Nothobranchius furzeri: one gene and its partners. The protein of the gene in region 2 purifies or fractionates together with the protein of the main gene of each other region. This does not show direct contact. Links are inferred from orthologs where the notes say so. Each region holds a gene or a part of one and is shown on either strand. Other genes may lie near its edges.

Region 1 (5,074 bases), on a different chromosome or scaffold from region 2:
AGGGAGCATGAGGAGAGACTTGAGAGTAAGACTTGTGCTACACAAACATCATGTGTAACAGAACGGTAATATTTAACCCTGTTTCTAAGAAGTTGGGTCACTTTGTAAAAATGCAAATGATTAGCAACATATGTAGCCTTCTTTTGATTGTTGTGGAATTCATTATCTAGAAGAAGTTTGTTCCTCCACCTGCAAATAAAACGTTAAAGTTCCTAATGCTGATTTTAGAAAGAACTAAAAAGGGAGAATCTGTTTGGGGAATAAAGCAAAGTTTCCCCATTTTTGAAAAACAAACAAGCATTTGTTTCAGTAGGTGGCACTGATTTGAACCCTGTAGGTGATGTTCACAGCAATAAATAAATGAAATAAGCGTATCTGTAACTAAAGGTGCTGGTTAAAGACTGATGCGTTGTAGTCAAACCAATTTGTGTGGATGGAACTGGTTTATTATCTTTAACAAAAAACAAATATTACAGTCAAACGCTGACCTACTTCAGCCCCTGGCTTAACTGTGGTGTTAACATGTTGCAGAGTGTTCATGGAAACAACGTTGTTGTTGTTTTTTTTTTGTTTCCTTCTTTTCCTTAACTCCAGAAAGGGAGCAGGAGCTGTGTGTCCGTGAGAAACTGGCAAATGAAAAGCTAGCACGGTAAATTCTCTACAAAAAACCCACATTTGACCTATTTTGTACATTCAACGCCGTCTTTCTTTGTTGGTCTTTTCAGCTGATTCTTGTTCTCCCTCTATCTGTGCTTTTTAGAGCAGACAGTTTGCTGAAGAATTACGGCGACCTGCAGCACCAGAAGGACCTGGCACTGATCTATGGCAGAGACATAGGTATGAGAAACCGACGGAGACATTTGGACAAACTGAACTGAGATGTTTTTATGTTAATGAACTTTAATCACTGAAATTAATCAGGTTTATGTCATGTAAATAAAGTTTTTATACAACTGTGTTGTCTTAATTAAATTAAACTTGCATTTTAAAGACTCAAACCACACAATGTGCAATCTGAAGTCTGTTGTCAATGCAGAAGTTTAAGTTCCTGATTGAATAAAGCTTATCCTGATGTTTGCTTATTAGTGATTTGACTTTGCATTTTTTTTGAGTGTAGATTTGGAGAATCTGTCTCCGGGTAAGAAGAAGGTCCACTTTGCCGGTGAAAGCAAAGAGAATCAGCAGCTTGATGATCGGAGCGCAACGTCACAGGAGCTAGTGCTGAGGAGACTGCAGGCAGCCAAGCTTCGTGCCAAAAAACTGAATGAAGTGGAGAAGATCTGTCAGTTTAAGAGTAGACAGATCCTTGGCATCCGTTAAACAAAACTGTTGCATATGAATGTGAAGGGCTGAATCTTTACAATTTCATGTACATCTAGTAATTTATAAGATAAAAGTGCAATTGTGACTATAGCAAATCTGTTAGTCAAAATATGTCTTGTATTTTATTCTAGTTTTGTAGTGTCAGTTTTATTCAGCTGCACAGTGTGATGTGTGTGTTAATCTTACAGGCAGCTAAAGTGATTTTAGAATGTAATTTGTATGTTTTTGCTTTGATTTGAGGTAGTTTATCAATTTTGTTGATAATTGGCATGAAAAGGCAGCTTATTCTAGGAATATTTCCAGAACCTCTGCTAATAAAGAAACCTGTTCCGTGACTATAAATGTTAGCTTCCTTTAAACACTGAAAATTATGATTTCATTCCATATACATATATATATATATATATATATATATATACACACACACACATTTTTTTTAAGTATTGATTTTATTGTACCTTTCTTAAACACCCCACAAGGGGTCATCACGTTTCCTGTGATACATTTGATAACGGGCAACAAAGCAGAGATCACCACACCTGGAAGTCATTGCTTTGTTTGGTGAACATCATTAGAATAACTAAACACTGAAGCCGATTAATAAATTAGATTATTTATTTAGCAATTATAGACACAGCTCTAGGCCTGATTCACAAGCATGGTTTGAGAAAACGACTCAATTGTGCTAGAAACAAATCAAAGACTTCAAAAAATCTGTTGATGTTTGCCTTCTTTGACTGAATTATCTTCATTGATGAAGCGGAATAAATGTTGGCAAAATCATCGATCACACACATAGCGTCATAAAATATCGCGAGATTTACCGTTAGCGTGCGTAGCGTAGCAACCAGCGTTGTCTGGTTCCTTAGCACCTCCTACTTAGTTACAAACGTAATAACATTCGACCAATCATATGCCTTCTTAGGAGCTCCTCGTCCAATCAGAGGTATCGTGGGCGGTTCCTAGCGCGTCTTGTTCCGTGTGGAAAGTTTACCGGCTCGGGTGCAAAGTTTCAGCCGTCTGCAAACTGGAGCTCGTCGACAGACGTGTCTGAAATGTGCTGGTGACGTTTGTGATCTATTCACACGGTTACTAGAATTTAGTTACTTCCTCTAATAGTTTTCCTCGTCGTTGGTCTTTGATATAGCTGCTGCCAGATATCAGCATCGGAAGCTGTTAGCATCGACTGCATTGTCTCAGGGAGGTGGCTCACAGATGTCAGGGAAGACCCGGTGAAGCGTTATCTGATTCTAAACTTGAATCGACGAAAAACTAAAGAAATCAAGATGGCCTGCGAGCCCAATCGTGCCCGTTTGCTGTGTATGCTGTCTCTGACTTTCGGCTTCTTCATCGTAGAAGTGGTGGTGAGTCGTATCACCTCTTCTCTGTCCATGCTGTCGGACTCTTTTCACATGCTATCGGACGTCATCGCCCTGGTCGTGGCTCTGGTCGCCGTGCGGTTCGCCGAGAAAACCCACTCGACCAATAAGAACACCTTCGGCTGGATCCGGGCGGAGGTGATGGGGGCTCTGGTCAACGCCGTCTTCCTCACGGCGCTGTGCTTCACCATTGTCCTGGAGGTGATCGAGCGTTTCACCGAGCCGCATGAGATCGAGAGGCCGGTGGTGGTCGCCGGGGTCGGAGCCGCGGGGCTTCTAGTCAACCTACTCGGTTTGTGTTTGTTCCACGGACACGCCGGCGGAGGCCACGGTCACTCCCACGGGGGTCACTCTCACGGAGGCAAAGGCAAGAGAGGAAAAGCGCAGAAGACTGGCAACGGGTCAGCTGGAGAGGAGTCCAACAATTTAGTGGGGAACCACAGCAGCCCTGGTGATGGGAGACCCAGAACCGGTAAGTGTGGACAGAATGGTTATAATCAGACTTCTCACAGATCTCCTTCTAATAAATTAAACACCCCAGATGACTCAAAACTACAGCAGTTAGTCATCAATCCACCATGAGGTCTGCTTAAGCCCATTATTCTTAGACAGCTGTGTTGTTTTGGTCACGGATGTTTGGTAACATTTATTTGTTGGGTCAGTAAATCCTTAGAAACTAAACTCCTGTGACGAGTGTTCCTTCTCCCAGCTGTTTTTAGAAACATCTGGTGTTTTAAAGTCAGATCTGAAATGTTCTTGTAGCTCTTTTTTGTTGCTTAAATTTCTTAAGGTCACACAGAAAAATCACCCAATAAGCTGCTGGTCCTACAGTGCCCTCCCATCAATAAAGGGTTAAACCCATATACAGAAGACCCCCCCCACACACACACACACACAGTTAGGCTCTGACAGCTTCAATAAATGGCCACTATATCCCCTTCTCTATGCACTGATTGCTGCTACTGGGTCATACATCAGTGTAACCGTGGAGTCGACAGACCCAGACACACCATTAGCGGTTGATGAATGACCCGATGGCGCCCCTGGATGGAAAAGAGCCGTGGCCGTTCCTCAGGTGCTGCTCCCCCAGCTCTGCCTCTCTGCCCGCAGTCGCTAATTGAATTTGCTTACTGTGAGTGTAGTGTTATGTTCTATTTAGGATACCGCACTCCAGGAGTTCACTCATTCATTCACAGCATGTTCTCTCTTGTGTGCAGTCCCAAGATCTTGGTGAAGATCTTTAAAGTTTGATTTGTTTGTTTCACATGTTCCTTTTGACACTTCCTATGTTTCAGTATCTTGGTGTCAAAGTCTGTGGTGATCTGAACTCACTTTTCTGATGTTTATCTTCAGATGTGAGCTGTACGGACAGCCCAGAGCTGCAGATGAATGGCAACACCCACTTCGACGAGCTGGACCTTGACCACGACTCGTCGTCGCAGCTCAACATGCGCGGGGTCTTCCTCCACGTGCTGGGGGACGCCCTGGGCTCTGTCATTGTGGTGGTCAACTCTGTCATTTTCACTTTTGTGTGGAATAGCTGTAAGGGCAGAGAAAACTGCGTGGACCTTTGTACCGACAAACACGCCATAGCCAACCAATATGGCAATTCCACAGTAACCGCTGGGCCCTGCTGGGTTCTCTACATGGATCCCACGCTGTGCATCATCATGGTGTGCATCCTGCTCTACACAACCTACCCGCTGCTGAAAGAGTCAGCCCTCATCCTGCTGCAGACTGTCCCCAAGCAGATCAACATACACCACCTGAATGAGCGGCTGCTGGGCCTGGACGGCGTCCTGGCCATCCACGATCTGCACATCTGGCAGCTGGCCGGGAGCAGGATCATTGCCACGGCACACATCAAATGCCACGACCCCACAGCTTACATGGAGGTGGCCAAGCGCATCAAGGACTTCTTCCACGACGAGGGCATCCACGCCACCACCATCCAGCCGGAGTTCGTCACGTTCAGCTCGGAGTCTCGGGACTCCTTGTGCGAGCTCTCCTGTAGGACTCAGTGCGCTCCCAAACTGTGCTGCGGCTCCACGGACAAACAGAAGGCCGGCAGTGACAGCAAAGCTGCTCTCGCCTCGGGCTTGGAGGTGATCAGCGAGACCCCAGAGCAGGCTGCTGAGGTTCAGGTTTGCCCTCGGACTGAGGCCGAGGTCGCCGTCACCAGAGAGGTGGAGTCGTCTCTGTGAAAACGGGTGGAAGAGGAAACGGGAAGACATCGCTGTCATTTAAAGGAAGCTGGAATTGTCGGACCTGATTAGAAATGACTTGTTCCTGTTCACGAATTTGATCCGTAGCCTCGTTCCCGTTGTCTTGCTTCTCCCAGCAGCATGGTTGTGATGCATGCTGGGATACAC
Region 2 (4,561 bases):
GTTGAAACTCCATTCAAGGATTGTTTGTTAAATAGTGGCACGCTGCTTGGCAGCTGTCTCAGACATCTTTGTTAGTGAGTATGTCTATTTTTTGCTAAGGCTGTGAATGGGGCAGATTACATATAAGACTTTCTTCTATCTGCTCCTTTTCATTTAAGCATTGTAAGATGTATTCATTCTTTTGATTATTTTTTAAAGTTACTATGTTTTTAAATGAAATAAAAGATAAAAAAGAAATGAGAGAATAGTATAAGTTTGCATTGCAATTATAATAAAATATTGGTGTTTTTAACACTAAATAAAATGAGATTTAAGGTCATTGCAGTTACAGAAACATGGTTACAAGAAGGAGATGTTGAGGATTATCAAATAGATGTGAGATGTATTACCAGAATCGGGAAAATAAAAAAGGTGGTGGTGTATAATATTACTTGTGGAGTACCACAAGGGTCAGTACTAGGCCTTAAACTATTATTTATATAAATGATATTGTCTCTGCATCTAATATGTTAAGGTGTATCTTATTTGCTGATTACACAACTTTTTATTATTCAGGAGACAATATTGATCAAATGATAGAAGTGATACAAACAGCGTTGGAAAAAATCAAACTATGGTTCCATGGGAATAAGCTTTCAATGAACACAGATAAATCCTCTTTTGTACGTTCTTGCTGTGTTTGTCTTCAAATTCCATTTTTGGTTCTTTTTTTAACACAAATAAGGTTTTTCTTTACCTTGCTGACTTTTCGTTTGCAGCTGCAAACATCTTCAGAGCTGACGCTGATGGTAGCGTCACTTCCTTATCTCGATAGCTTCCTTTATCCGTCTTTTGTATTTCTGTTGTTCGGTGTTTATGATCCTTGTGTTGTCCCACCCAGTCCATTATACGGTTTTCTCTTGTGCAGTGAGCTGTTGCTGTAACAGATCACTTTTTATAAGCTGTTTCAGCCCTATTGCACATTCACATCACTGAGCATCTATGTTTGTTGAGCCTTCTGGATGATCAGAACTGAAATGAGTCTGCACTCTGTATGCGAACCAACAAGAGGCGACCTGCATCAGCCATGTTAGGTCAGTGGTTGCTTCAGTAATGTTCTCTGTTTCCTGTCTGCACAGATTGCTGGGAATAGAAGAGTGGCAAAATACTGGATTTCAGTATGATGTGATCAGCTGTCTGAACCTGCTGGACCGCTGTGATGACCCTCTGCATCTGCTGCAGGACATCCGGAGCTCCTTAGTACCTGGGACTGGAAGACTGGTCCTGGCAGCAGTCCTTCCCTTCCAGCCATACATAGAGATTGGTCAGTGTGTGTGTACTTGTCTTTATATGTTTAAGTGGACAAATTTTAACTTTAACCTGTAACATGTGGACATTTCCTCATTGTGGGGAAATTTTGCTGGTCCACACAATGCTAAGCACCCTAAAACTTGGTTTTAGAGGTATGGTGTGAATGAACTTTTAGTTTAGATTAGTTTAGGTTTGGTACATGAAATGTCACCTCTCTGGTAGGGGCTGCACAACTGAAGTCAACTGTCAAGTAATGAAAATTGAGTCGACTTTGACTAGTCGTTGATGACGTCATACACCTGAAGCCGGGGGGGGGGGGGGGGGGGGGGGGGGGTTCGCTGGAGTTTTTGACGATTAAAATTGCGCCCACATTTTCAAAGTTAAACACATTTCTTTTAACAGCGGTAGTTTCTGCTTCAGCCCTCTCCCCCCTCCCCCTGCGCAGTGCACCTGCAACCTCTCGGAGTTCCTGCTGCTCTAAACATTAAAATAATTATTTCATTTTCTGTTCCTCACTTCTGATTACCTTCAATGGTGTCTGTTTGTTGCAACCAGCAGGTACAAAAACTAACTTGTTTTTATTTGACTATTTTTCTGTCCTGTATCTGTTTATTATCTTCCTGCATCTCCTCTCAATCCTAAAGAGAAACTGCAACCTGGGTTCATATATATTCACCTCATGAGTTATATTTGAACTGCAGTTCTAAAAGATCTACCGACCGCTAAAACAGCGGAGTGCTCGCTGCTCGCCGGCCACATCAGTGAGGTGAAGTTATTGGAGGACTAAACAGGTGATGCGCCCCGATCCACAGCAGCGAAACACATCAGGCACAAATAAGAGAATAAAAGACAGAAAACATAAAAGGAAATGAGCCGACATGAACGATCGCATGTTAAATTAGTTTTTGAGGTGGCGACACCTGATTTGATAATGTTACTGTGGCCGTGCTCAGGACGCAGATGTCTGGAGCGCGTCAACGATCAGAGCTTTGCATGCACACGCTGGTTAAGGTTAGGATGGGGGTGAGGGGAAGGTTAAATTGCAAGAGGGTAAAGGTCACAATTTGGTTAAATGTCCGTTTTACGGCGGGTGTCAGTACCGACGCTCTGGAACAGCGCGTTGCCTCCCGACGCGCAGGAGCTTGTCACCTGCTGACAGCAGGCTGCTGTCTTTTCCGTGGACTGCATCTTGTCGCTCATTATCACGTGACAGCGACTAGTCGATGACAGGCATAAAAAGTCACTACAGAGCAGTGAAGTCGACTAATCGCGAAGTAGGGACTCCCAGCATGCCCCTCGCGGGGATTCCCTCCACGTCGCACCTACGTCACAAACCGCGGCTATAAACGGAAGTCACCTTTCCAGCTCACCACTCAGTCATCGTTTCTTCAGATTCATGATCGGAGTTTCCAACCTACCGATCAATCCAACGAACTATCAGCTCATAGTAAGTTATCTTACTTACTTCTGGAAAGCCCGGCATTTCCGTGTCACTTCGTTGACGCTTGAACACTCGGGGGTTTCCTAGATTAAGCGTGAGCCGGCGTTTCATCGACGCTCTCACTTCCGCGTCTGTGAAACCACGCGCTCCCTACAAGCTCAACTCCCGAATCCAGCCGACCAGTCTGACATACAGTACTATACTGAATTATCGTATGATCACATTCTCTTTTTGTGGGTAAAAGTCTAGAAAAATGTTTTACTTGTTTTTTTAGTTTCATTACAAAAAGTGCATTTTATGATGAAATTGATGAAAAAAAAACAGGAATTTCTTTATATTTCGCATAGAAAAATACTGTGAATCTGTGAAAAATACAGCGAATCGGCGAATTTCCCTTGAATAAGGCTCCAAAAAAATTCCGCGAAGTCGTGAATCCGCGATAAACGAACCGCGAAGTAGCGAGGGATCACTGTACTTTTAAAATGGTACCGGTTCCTAAACGGTATTTAAATCGGTACTTTAAAACAAACAAACAAAAACAAAAATAAATAACACAAATGTTCAATGATCCCATGACTTTTTATTTCTTAGGGCAAAATCTAAGCCAATCAAATTGACAAACAACATATCGACGCAACAGTTTTAACACTACTTTTTTGGTACCTATTTGTATAATTATAAGATATGATAACAAATAACTAAAAGTTATTTTATTTAATTACAGCAAAAATCACAACAAATGTTCAGTGCAAACAGTAAAGGCACAAGAATTAAACAGTTGCACACAATAAACATTTTTGTGCAAAACAAAAGTTTGTAGTGAAGATAAAGTCCAAACAATTTGTTTGTGTACAAAATACAAACATCTACTCTAAAAACACGGGGAAAATAACATATTTGAACCCCAAATCAACAAACAAATAAAAACATTGTATAAATAAGAGGCAGGAGGAGTAAAAATAACTATTTACACGGTATAAACATTATTCTAGCAGGTTTTCTTCTGAATAATTAGCATGTATGCTTTTTCTGGCAGGTGCTAACAGCCTGGATCGCTTCTGTTTGTATTAAATGGTAACTGGCCTGTATTTGTATAGCGCCATCTTGGGGTTCTACATCCCCCAAGGCGCTTACAACAAAATCGGTCATTCACCCATTCACACACGCATTCGTACACGTGTGGGGATGAGCTACAATGTAGCCACAGCTGCCCTGGGGCGCACTGACAGAGGTGAGGCTGCCGAGCACAGGCGCCACCGGTCCCTCCGACTCAATGTCCCCTGCCTCCCCTGGAACATTTTGGAAGTTCTGTCGGAGGTGGGAATTGAAGCTCCTTCTGACAGGAGACTGCCAGAAGTTCCCAGCAAACCCTCACAATACGTTTGGGCCTGCACTGGTTTACTGCTTGCTGCAGCAGCAGAAGAGCCCTTATTTGGTCAATTAATTCTGACCTGTTAGACGGAATGTCCATTATATTAAAGCTGATGACATGATTCTTTGTAGTCATAGCAACCGTGTGAAATCATAAAGTAAACAAGGTCGGACTTCACACAAAGACACATGTAGCATTCAGTCAATATGGAGAGGTAACTCTGAAGGGCCTTTTTTCCTCCACCTGAACCAATCCTCATATATAAACCCTCTGATCTCTATTAGCGCAGCGCGACTCGGGTGGCGAATGACCACAGTCACCAATTCTTGTCATGTGTCTATGCCTATGTGTGTCTGACCTCAGAATTGTGTGCACTGAAACTCTAATTTCCCTCTGGGATTAATAAAGTATCTATGAATTGAATTGAATTTGGATTCATTTTCAATGCGGTGAGGAAG
Region 3 (3,383 bases), on a different chromosome or scaffold from region 2:
TTAAGGCGCTCGTGCGTCGCCGATGTGCTCTTCTGAAAGGAGAGTTTCACCTTACTGATGTTGCACTGCGTGCTTCTCTTTTGTCTTTGGAAAATGCTCCCAAACCTTTGAGCTACGTTGCCGACTGGCCCTGATGTCAAAGGCATGTGTCTCGAGCAGAAAACAGCCCCCGAAGGTGCCGCAACACACGAGATTTAAAAAATGCTCATAGAATGCACGACTAGTTTGTCGATGTCGTCGTGACAAATCGACTAATCATACCAGCTCAGTGGCCTAGCGGTAGAGTGTCCCCCCTGAGACTGGGAGGTCAGAGTTTGATTCCTGGTCAGGTCATACTTAGAAAAAAATGGGACCCAGTTCCTCCCTGCTTGACACAGCATTAAGGGGTTGGATTGGGGGGGCTAAACCACCAAATGGTTCCCGAGCGCGGCCGCGCCTGCAGCTCACTGCTCACCCGGGGATGGGTCAGATGCAGAGAACAAATTTTGCACACACACACCTGTGTGTGTGTGAGACAACTGATGGGACGAGGCTAGCTTGTTATGGGCTCGACACACGGGAGGCCACATCCCCTCTCCTCCGTTCATTTTCAATGAGACATGCACGACAAAGCGATAATAGCGGGTCTCCCTCCTACCAAGCGAAACGCGAAAAACGTGCGTGTGAAATTTTACGCTCGTGCGCGTGTCGTGCACAGGCGACGCAGCGACGTGATCCCAGAAAGTTTAAATATTTTCAACTTTTCATCGCCGTGAAACATCATATTTACCACTTTATTAACTCTGAACCGCTTAAATAACCTTAATTCCCTCCAACCTGACACAGCCAAGCAGAACAACGGAAGATCCGATTTCGCCATGGAACAGGACGCGTCGACGGCTTTGCCGCTGGCCGCTGGTCGCCTCCCGTGTGTCGGGTAATAAAAGCGACTAATTTCGCTGATCGCGGTCGTTTGTCGCCTCCCGTGTGTCGAGCCCATTATTCTGTTGTTCTCAGATTTGCTCTTCCTGCCTGCTCTGGAGCAGCTTGTTTACTTACAGCAGACGTGTCCAAAGTGCAGCTCGGGGGCCGTTGGTGGTCCTCACGGTGGTTTTGTTCTGCGTTTCTAGTGTGGTCGACTTTTCACTTCAAGAGGCTGTTAACGTAGATCAGCACTTTTTAAACACATTCGTGTTCAGATTATGTTCACAACTATTTAACGTTAAAGGTGCGGTTGAATGAGTACAGGGTATCCGCAGGTCCTTAAAAAGTCTTAAATTTGCTTTTCCAAATTTAAGGTCTTGAAAATCCTTAAATACAGTTTCCTGAGGTCTTAAATGACCAAAGACCAATAAACAAGATTCTTTTATTTCTATAAAAATTTCGTGAATTTCTAGTGAGTGTTCAGCGTTTGTTGTGCACGATGTTGCCGTAAGCGGAACCGTACACATTCAGTTGGTTGTGAAAGGGGACTATTTTTAGATGAGCACGTTAGCTGGTTAAGCTAGTGGGAGCTTGCGCCATGGGGAAGTGCAAGTTTAATGGTAACTGGATGGCTAATCCCACGTTCGCTACGTGGTTAGCGCCGGTTCCAGGCAATAGCTGGAAATTATAGCTTAAATTTGGTCAAAGTGGCCTTAAAAAAGGTCTTAAAAAGTCTTAAATTTTGCTTCCTTAAACCTGCAGATACCCTGGAATAAACATTTTTTACGATTATTTCTGATTATAATCGATCACTCTTGAGTTTTTCATCACAATGCATGAGCGATACTTTTGGGACTGTGTCGGAGATGTTTGGGTCACACAATGTTGCTTCTGACTGTGAGAACCAGACCATCTGGCTGTTCCTCACGAGTCTCACGGTCCAGTCAGATCCGGGTCTAGCCTCTCATTCTGGTCCCAAGCCCAAACACTGATGCTAAAACCTCCTCCTCTGTAGGTGACGGCCATTTTGAAAGACGTGGGGGTGAATAACCTGTCGGTCCAGGTGGAGAAGGAGGCGTACTTCCAGCACATGTCGGGACTCAGCACCGGATTCCACGATGTTCTGGCGATGACCCAACAAATGGAGTCGATGAAGCACCTGAACGACGGGACGTGTATCATGTAATAAACCAAACCCCATGACACACGTACGGCAACAAAGGAGGACCAAAATTCCCCAGTGAACTGTACAGAGTATGTTGGAATAAATCTGATTATGCTGCTTTTAGTTCCTGTTTGATGATGTTTGATTTACTGCTCACATCTCTAGAGGCTTCTGGGTTTTTAAACCCTAAATATTTGAGTCCCATAAAGGTGTCAACCTTGAACCATAAACCTGAGTCGGCATACATCTGCCATCTCCGTAAAAACCAGGAGAAATGGTGTGTGGGAACATTCTGGCTTTATTAAAGCAGCGAGCATTAATCTAATGCATATAAATGTGAAGGAAGACACCGTGGAGCATCCTCTGTTGCTACGGTGCAGAGAGACGCTGGTTCTGGTACTGCTGATATGTGTCGCCCCGTGAAAACACACAAAGGTTCCTTCCACATGTTCAGACGACACGCAGGAGTCTGCAACGCTTCGGGTCGTCTGGAATGTGCAAAACTGGGGAGGAGGTGGGGGCGGGGGGCATGCATCCTACTGCGGCAACTCGCTTCCTTCTACTCGATCTCATTGGAGCTTCCGACGGTGGCTCCGATCTCCGTCTCTGCAGAGGAAACAAAAACATCAGGAAGCTGCTGACCTGTTCTCACCGGAAACCGGTGAATCGTCCGTTTACCTGGGCAAGGTCCTCCCTCCAAGATGATGTCATCAATGGCGATGTCACTCCTCACCGAGGAGCCTCGGATGGCTTCAAATACAATCTGTGACACAAATGGTAAATGGCCGGTGTTTGATAAAGCGCCTTCTAGAGTCCTGGAACCCCCCCAAGGCGCTTTACAACACAATCAGTCATTCACCCATTCACACACACATTCACACACTGATGGTGATGAGCTACGATGTAGCCACAGCTGCCCTGGGGCCCACTGACACAGGCGCCACCGGTCCCTCCAACCACCACCAGCAGACAACGTGGGTTAAGTGTCTTGCCCAAGGACACAGCGACAGACTGAGCGGGGCTCGAACCTGCAACCTTCCGATTACGGGGCGAGAACTTAACTCCTGTGCCACACGAGCAGCGTTCCTACGTAGACGTCCGATCCTCTGAAGGGTTCCCTCCCAACTTTGGCTGCTTTATAGATTTTAGAACCCTTATTGATCCTTTTGTTCTTTTATTTTGAGCCATTCAGATTTTAAAAAGGCTCCTAAACCAGAGGGACACACCGGTATCAGCCAACAGCTTGGCATCCGTTTCCATGGCAACCGAGGGTCACCTGGTTGATGGAAAAATGCTCAAGAAGCACATGAAACTG
Region 4 (4,561 bases), on a different chromosome or scaffold from region 2:
TTTCGTGTAGATCCATTTAGCCAGTTAAGCAGTATAATTTCTTCCTCTTTATAGCGCCCCCTATTGTTGAATCAAGCTGAAAATCAAGATCCACTTGAATTGACCTTAGGTATGGTGATTATGAATAGCTTTGAAAAATGTCCAAATCTTTTGAAGTTATGCTAAAAAACAGTTTCATTCCCCAAAAATTATTTTAAAAAATCATATAAAAACAAATAAGCAAATTATCCAAAATCCCTTCACATCGTTTGGTCAGCCGCTCCTCCTCTCTTGTCAGGGAAAGTAGTGATGTGATTGTGTTGTACGGCCGGGAGGAGTTAACGAAAGTACGTTTGACTTACTATGCAAATTTCTACTAATTAGCATAAGTTTAGATAATTTTTTTAAATACTCATCTAAATTTGACTGAATCAATAAACATACTGGATGAGACCATGTACAACAGCGCCATCTATTGGAAAAAATTCTAATTTTTTCTGTGATTGTAGATGTCACTATGACTGATTTGATTTGTAACTTTCTGTACAGAATATATATTTTTCATGAGTAAATGGGCGAAAACTTTTAAAGCCTATTTATAGCCTATAAGCCACGCCCACTTTTAAATCATTTTCGAAATATAGCGTAAGGGTCCAATGATAAACATATCTGCCAAGTTTTGTGGAAATCCATCAAGCCGTTTTGCTGAAACAAACTTTTTGAATCTTTAGCGCCCCCTATTGGTGAATCCAAACAAAATTGCGTAGATAGGGTTTACCGCTCATACTTTGTAAGGTTCTAGAGTCTCATCATTTTATCTTGAAAATTGTTGAAGATATAATCAATTAGGACATGTGCTAGCTAGCGCACTGAATTTGACATGGTGTCATTAACCCAATTTTCAATAATTCCGCGTTTTTCTTCATCACAACCACTTCTCATCCTCCATATATCATATGTTCAAAGGTTGAAGTTGAGTCGACGAAAAATGACGAATAGGTGATTAAAACTAAGTTTTGCGTTTTTTGAGATCTAGCAAAAAATCTAGTTAGGCAGAAATGGGCGTGGCCAATACAAAAAAGATGCAGAATCATCCAAGGATCATGTCCATATAAAGTTTTTTGACTGTAGGGCCTATGGTTTGGGAGCTAGTAGCTCAAACGTATTCACCTCCGCAATAGCGCCACCTAGGTGACTCGTGGTCCAAATTTTCGAACTTGAGTAGCGGTCAGGATTGTCTATCAGACTGCCATATCAGATTTTTCCTGGCAATTTCAGGCTCTTGTCCCCATACAGTATTAGCGGAGAAGAAGAATAATGAAAAATCCGTAGAAAAACAATAGGGTTCCAATGCCCTTTGGGCTTGGAACCCTAATAAAGTTTTAAGTATCAGGCGTGACATTAAAAGCAGACGCTTTGATGCTCCACCTGAGAATAAATCTGTAAGGCTTGTCACCAGCATTCAGACATCAATTCAGTTTGCTTCGCAGCCAGACAGGACACAGAAGAATAAATAAATAAATAAATAAATCCAGTGGGGTGAATTCTGGAAAAGTCGGCAACCTGGCAAACACAGCAGCAGGGACAACATAAGCTAGCGTTTGTAAACTAGCTTACACTAAACTTTGGTAAACACCGCTATAAGCCCCAGCTAGGTTTGCTACATCTCCCAACAAGTGAACTGGGCTTGAACTAGCAGAAGAAAGTCCAAACTGGCCAATTTGCTGACTGTTCGACACTCCCGTAACGCCCACCATGGTGGACCCACATGATCAGTATCTGGTGGTGTAATATCGGGTACGACACACAGGGTGGGTGCATCCCTACTTTCACTCGTTTTTGAATGTGATCTTAACACTATCTGAAAAACGCACATACCTAACCAGAGTTTCCCAAACTTATGGATGCAGGAAAACCCTGAGGACAATGATATATTAACTGCCACAGCAACTAAAAGTGTAAACTGTGAGGAAAAGATACAAATGCTTACAGCCTTCCACATAATCCATTAAAAACCGCTGGATGTGATGAGAAGCCCTGATTATCCTCGGTTCTCCCTTATTCGATGTTTTACTAGTGGATCAAAGCCTGGCTGGATCAACCACAATACCCATCCCTCTCTACTACATTACATTTCCTGTCTATCGACTCCTGCTGACGACCATTAGCTATGCACATTCAATCAGACTCGAAAATGAAACCAACAAGTAGAACTTTCTATATCCAGAACCAACAAGGAACCCTGCTGTAACAACCCATTACAGCAGCTGGCATAAAAAAGCATTTTGAATGAATTCGTAATGCGTTTCTGACACAATCACCATCTTCTGTTCATAAATGAATTAAACACAACCTGAAGGGTCATCAACATTTACAAAATCTAAAGACTTCCATAAAAGCGCAGCTATGAACGTGCTGCAGGGCATTTTTAAAACGCGTTTTCCTGGAATAAGCAAAGGACATACAAACAAGACCCTAAAGATGGAACCGCGTGGATCAGAGTTGAAAGTAAACAGGAAATGCACGTGTTGTTATCGACCTAAAACCCAAGAAACTATCTTCAAACTAAAATCTCTTCAGGTCTGCAGCCTTAGATGAGATTTTCTTTTATCTTTTATGCCAATCAATGCCTGAGGTGTGTTGCCGGTGAAGATGTTGTCCGTGGCCTATTGACTGACACCACACAACAACGATCTATTGATCAAACAAACAGGCTGGACTGTGATGAAAGACTAATGGGTTAAAAGGCACTGCTTCTTCTTATCTTCTGTCAAAGTGCTGGTTTGAAGCAGAGAACTGGTCAGATCAGAAACGCTGATGCTTTGTGTAAGCCCCAAGTACACACTAAGGATAAATGCCTGCTTTTCCATTCATCCCCGTCATTATATTTCAGGAAATGCCATGAAAGACCCCTATTTGTTATATTTGCCAAAGTTCCTATAACAGTCTCAGGTGACGAGTGCATAACAAAGGGTCCTACCAGAGCTGACGGACTCCAGGGCCTCCTGCTCCACCTCCATCTGGTGGTAATGGCGGATACAGACACGGCTGTCTATCTGGTACAGTAGGGCCGGGCACAGGTAGGTGAACTGGCTGGGGGAGATGAGGGCTTCAGGGTGCAGGCCGTAGTAGGAGAGGAGCTGGGTGAGGTTCAAGCACTGCATTAAAACAATAAACAAGGAAAAACTATCAGCCATGATGAAAATGTACTGAAACACGTACTAGAGGCTTTCCACTGGAAATGAGAAGCAAAAGTCACGCCTGCTTGGAACATACTGAAACCAACCACAAGACCGAGCTGAAAGGCTTAAATGGAGATTATGAATATTATTTTCTATTGATCATTAATAATAAACATAAGTTTCATAAAGCGCCTTCAACAACAACTCAAAGACACGTTTTAAAGATGTCACCAAAAGCATCAGAACAAGAGAATTCTCATTTGATCCTCCAGAGTGTTTTAATGAAAGCGGATAAAAAAGCTCAGACTCTTATCCCGTCAGAAAAGGCTTCAGATGGATCTAGAAAACTGCTTCATCTGTAGAGAAACATAACAGAATATAAATCCACAGGAACGTGATCTTTGTCTTGACAGGCTGAGCGCCTACCTCCTCATGCTGGTGAGACAGTCCACCTGCATGTCTGGAGTTCACAGGGAGAGGCGTGACCAGAGCCCCCGGAGCCTCTCTCTTCTCTTTATGAGCGTGGCCATGTTTGTGATGAGGGTCATGACTGTGGTCATGGTCATCAGGTGGAGGTGTGTCAGGGGTTGGGGACTTGTTTGGCCCTTGCTGACCTCTGACCTTTGGCTGCTTTCTGGGCCTTTTAGGTCGACTCCCCGTCGGGACTGGAGACGACGGTTGCAGGCGGGTGGAGGACGCATCTTTGCCTGTATTAATGTGATGAAGGTCATGCTCGTGGTGACCATGAGAGTGAGAGGACACGTCCCTGTGGTGGACCTCTTCATCAGAAGGTTGATGGTTACTATCCTCAGCCTCGCTGTGATGGTGAGTATGATTGTGGCCATGATTTACGGGTTCACCAGAAGCTGGACTTGAGGCCGTGGTGTGGCTGCAGCGTGTTGGGATTTGCTCCGTGTGGGAGTGAGTTTGGGAATGTGGTTTGTGATGGGAATGATCATGGCGCTGGTGATGACGGTGGCCTTCACTGGGAGATGAGTGTGAGTGCAGCCCCTCTTGCAGATCCAGCAGGTCGAGGTGGGCTACGTGGTCGTGGCCCAGCTCCTCGTGATCTGCATCAACCACCTTGACTTCTCCCAGACCCAAGCTAAACAGCAGACTCTGAAATCCCTGGAAATCTAAGCGGTCCCTCTGACCGTAGCGCCTGAACAACTGCTGGATGTAGAAGCGCTGCTCCTCCTCTAAGGTGGCGGGGCTTTTGGAGTTTGGAGACGCGGTGGCAGCTCTTACGTAGGGAGCGTTGGAAATCTGCAGATCGCTGTGCTCATCGTGGTGATGTCCATCACTGTCATGGCTGTGCCCTCCATGGCAGTGGTTGCACTGATGCAAGATGAAGGTGAGCACGCACAAGAGGCAAAACTTGGTATGCACGTGCACTCGCA

The links.
Region 1: the proteins of mettl9 (region 2) and slc30a1a purify together in Homo sapiens (co-immunoprecipitation; 3 studies listed by BioGRID and IntAct, with this or other methods). This does not show direct contact. The link is inferred for Nothobranchius furzeri from reciprocal best matches to the Homo sapiens genes METTL9 and SLC30A1.
Region 3: the proteins of mettl9 (region 2) and slc30a5 purify together in Homo sapiens (co-immunoprecipitation; 3 studies listed by BioGRID and IntAct, with this or other methods). This does not show direct contact. The link is inferred for Nothobranchius furzeri from reciprocal best matches to the Homo sapiens genes METTL9 and SLC30A5.
Region 4: the proteins of mettl9 (region 2) and slc39a10 purify together in Homo sapiens (co-immunoprecipitation; 3 studies listed by BioGRID and IntAct, with this or other methods). This does not show direct contact. The link is inferred for Nothobranchius furzeri from reciprocal best matches to the Homo sapiens genes METTL9 and SLC39A10.

What each region holds. Positions count from the first base shown.
Region 1 is NC_091742.1:7,796,187-7,801,260, reverse strand, and holds the start of slc30a1a (zinc transporter 1a), read left to right. Parts: upstream 1-1,912; 5' UTR 1,913-2,609; coding exon 2,610-3,174; intron 3,175-4,055; coding exon 4,056-4,906; 3' UTR 4,907-5,074. Other genes in the region: serine/threonine-protein kinase Nek2, read left to right, coding at 1-25, 595-649, 761-837, 1,118-1,320. UniProt on the Homo sapiens protein: Zinc ion:proton antiporter that could function at the plasma membrane mediating zinc efflux from cells against its electrochemical gradient protecting them from intracellular zinc accumulation and toxicity.
Region 2 is NC_091756.1:2,165,622-2,170,182, forward strand, and holds part of mettl9 (protein-L-histidine N-pros-methyltransferase), read left to right. Parts: intron 1-1,118; coding exon 1,119-1,303; intron 1,304-4,561. UniProt on the Homo sapiens protein: Protein-histidine N-methyltransferase that specifically catalyzes 1-methylhistidine (pros-methylhistidine) methylation of target proteins.
Region 3 is NC_091746.1:73,802,658-73,806,040, forward strand, and holds the end of slc30a5 (proton-coupled zinc antiporter SLC30A5), read left to right. Parts: intron 1-1,918; coding exon 1,919-2,089; 3' UTR 2,090-2,191; downstream 2,192-3,383. Other genes in the region: MAM domain-containing protein 2, read right to left, coding at 2,628-2,674, 2,747-2,831. UniProt on the Homo sapiens protein: Together with SLC30A6 forms a functional proton-coupled zinc ion antiporter mediating zinc entry into the lumen of organelles along the secretory pathway.
Region 4 is NC_091754.1:1,907,358-1,911,918, reverse strand, and holds part of slc39a10 (zinc transporter ZIP10), read right to left. Parts: coding exon 3,588-4,561; intron 3,138-3,587; coding exon 2,960-3,137; intron 1-2,959. UniProt on the Homo sapiens protein: Zinc-influx transporter. When associated with SLC39A6, the heterodimer formed by SLC39A10 and SLC39A6 mediates cellular zinc uptake to trigger cells to undergo epithelial-to-mesenchymal transition (EMT).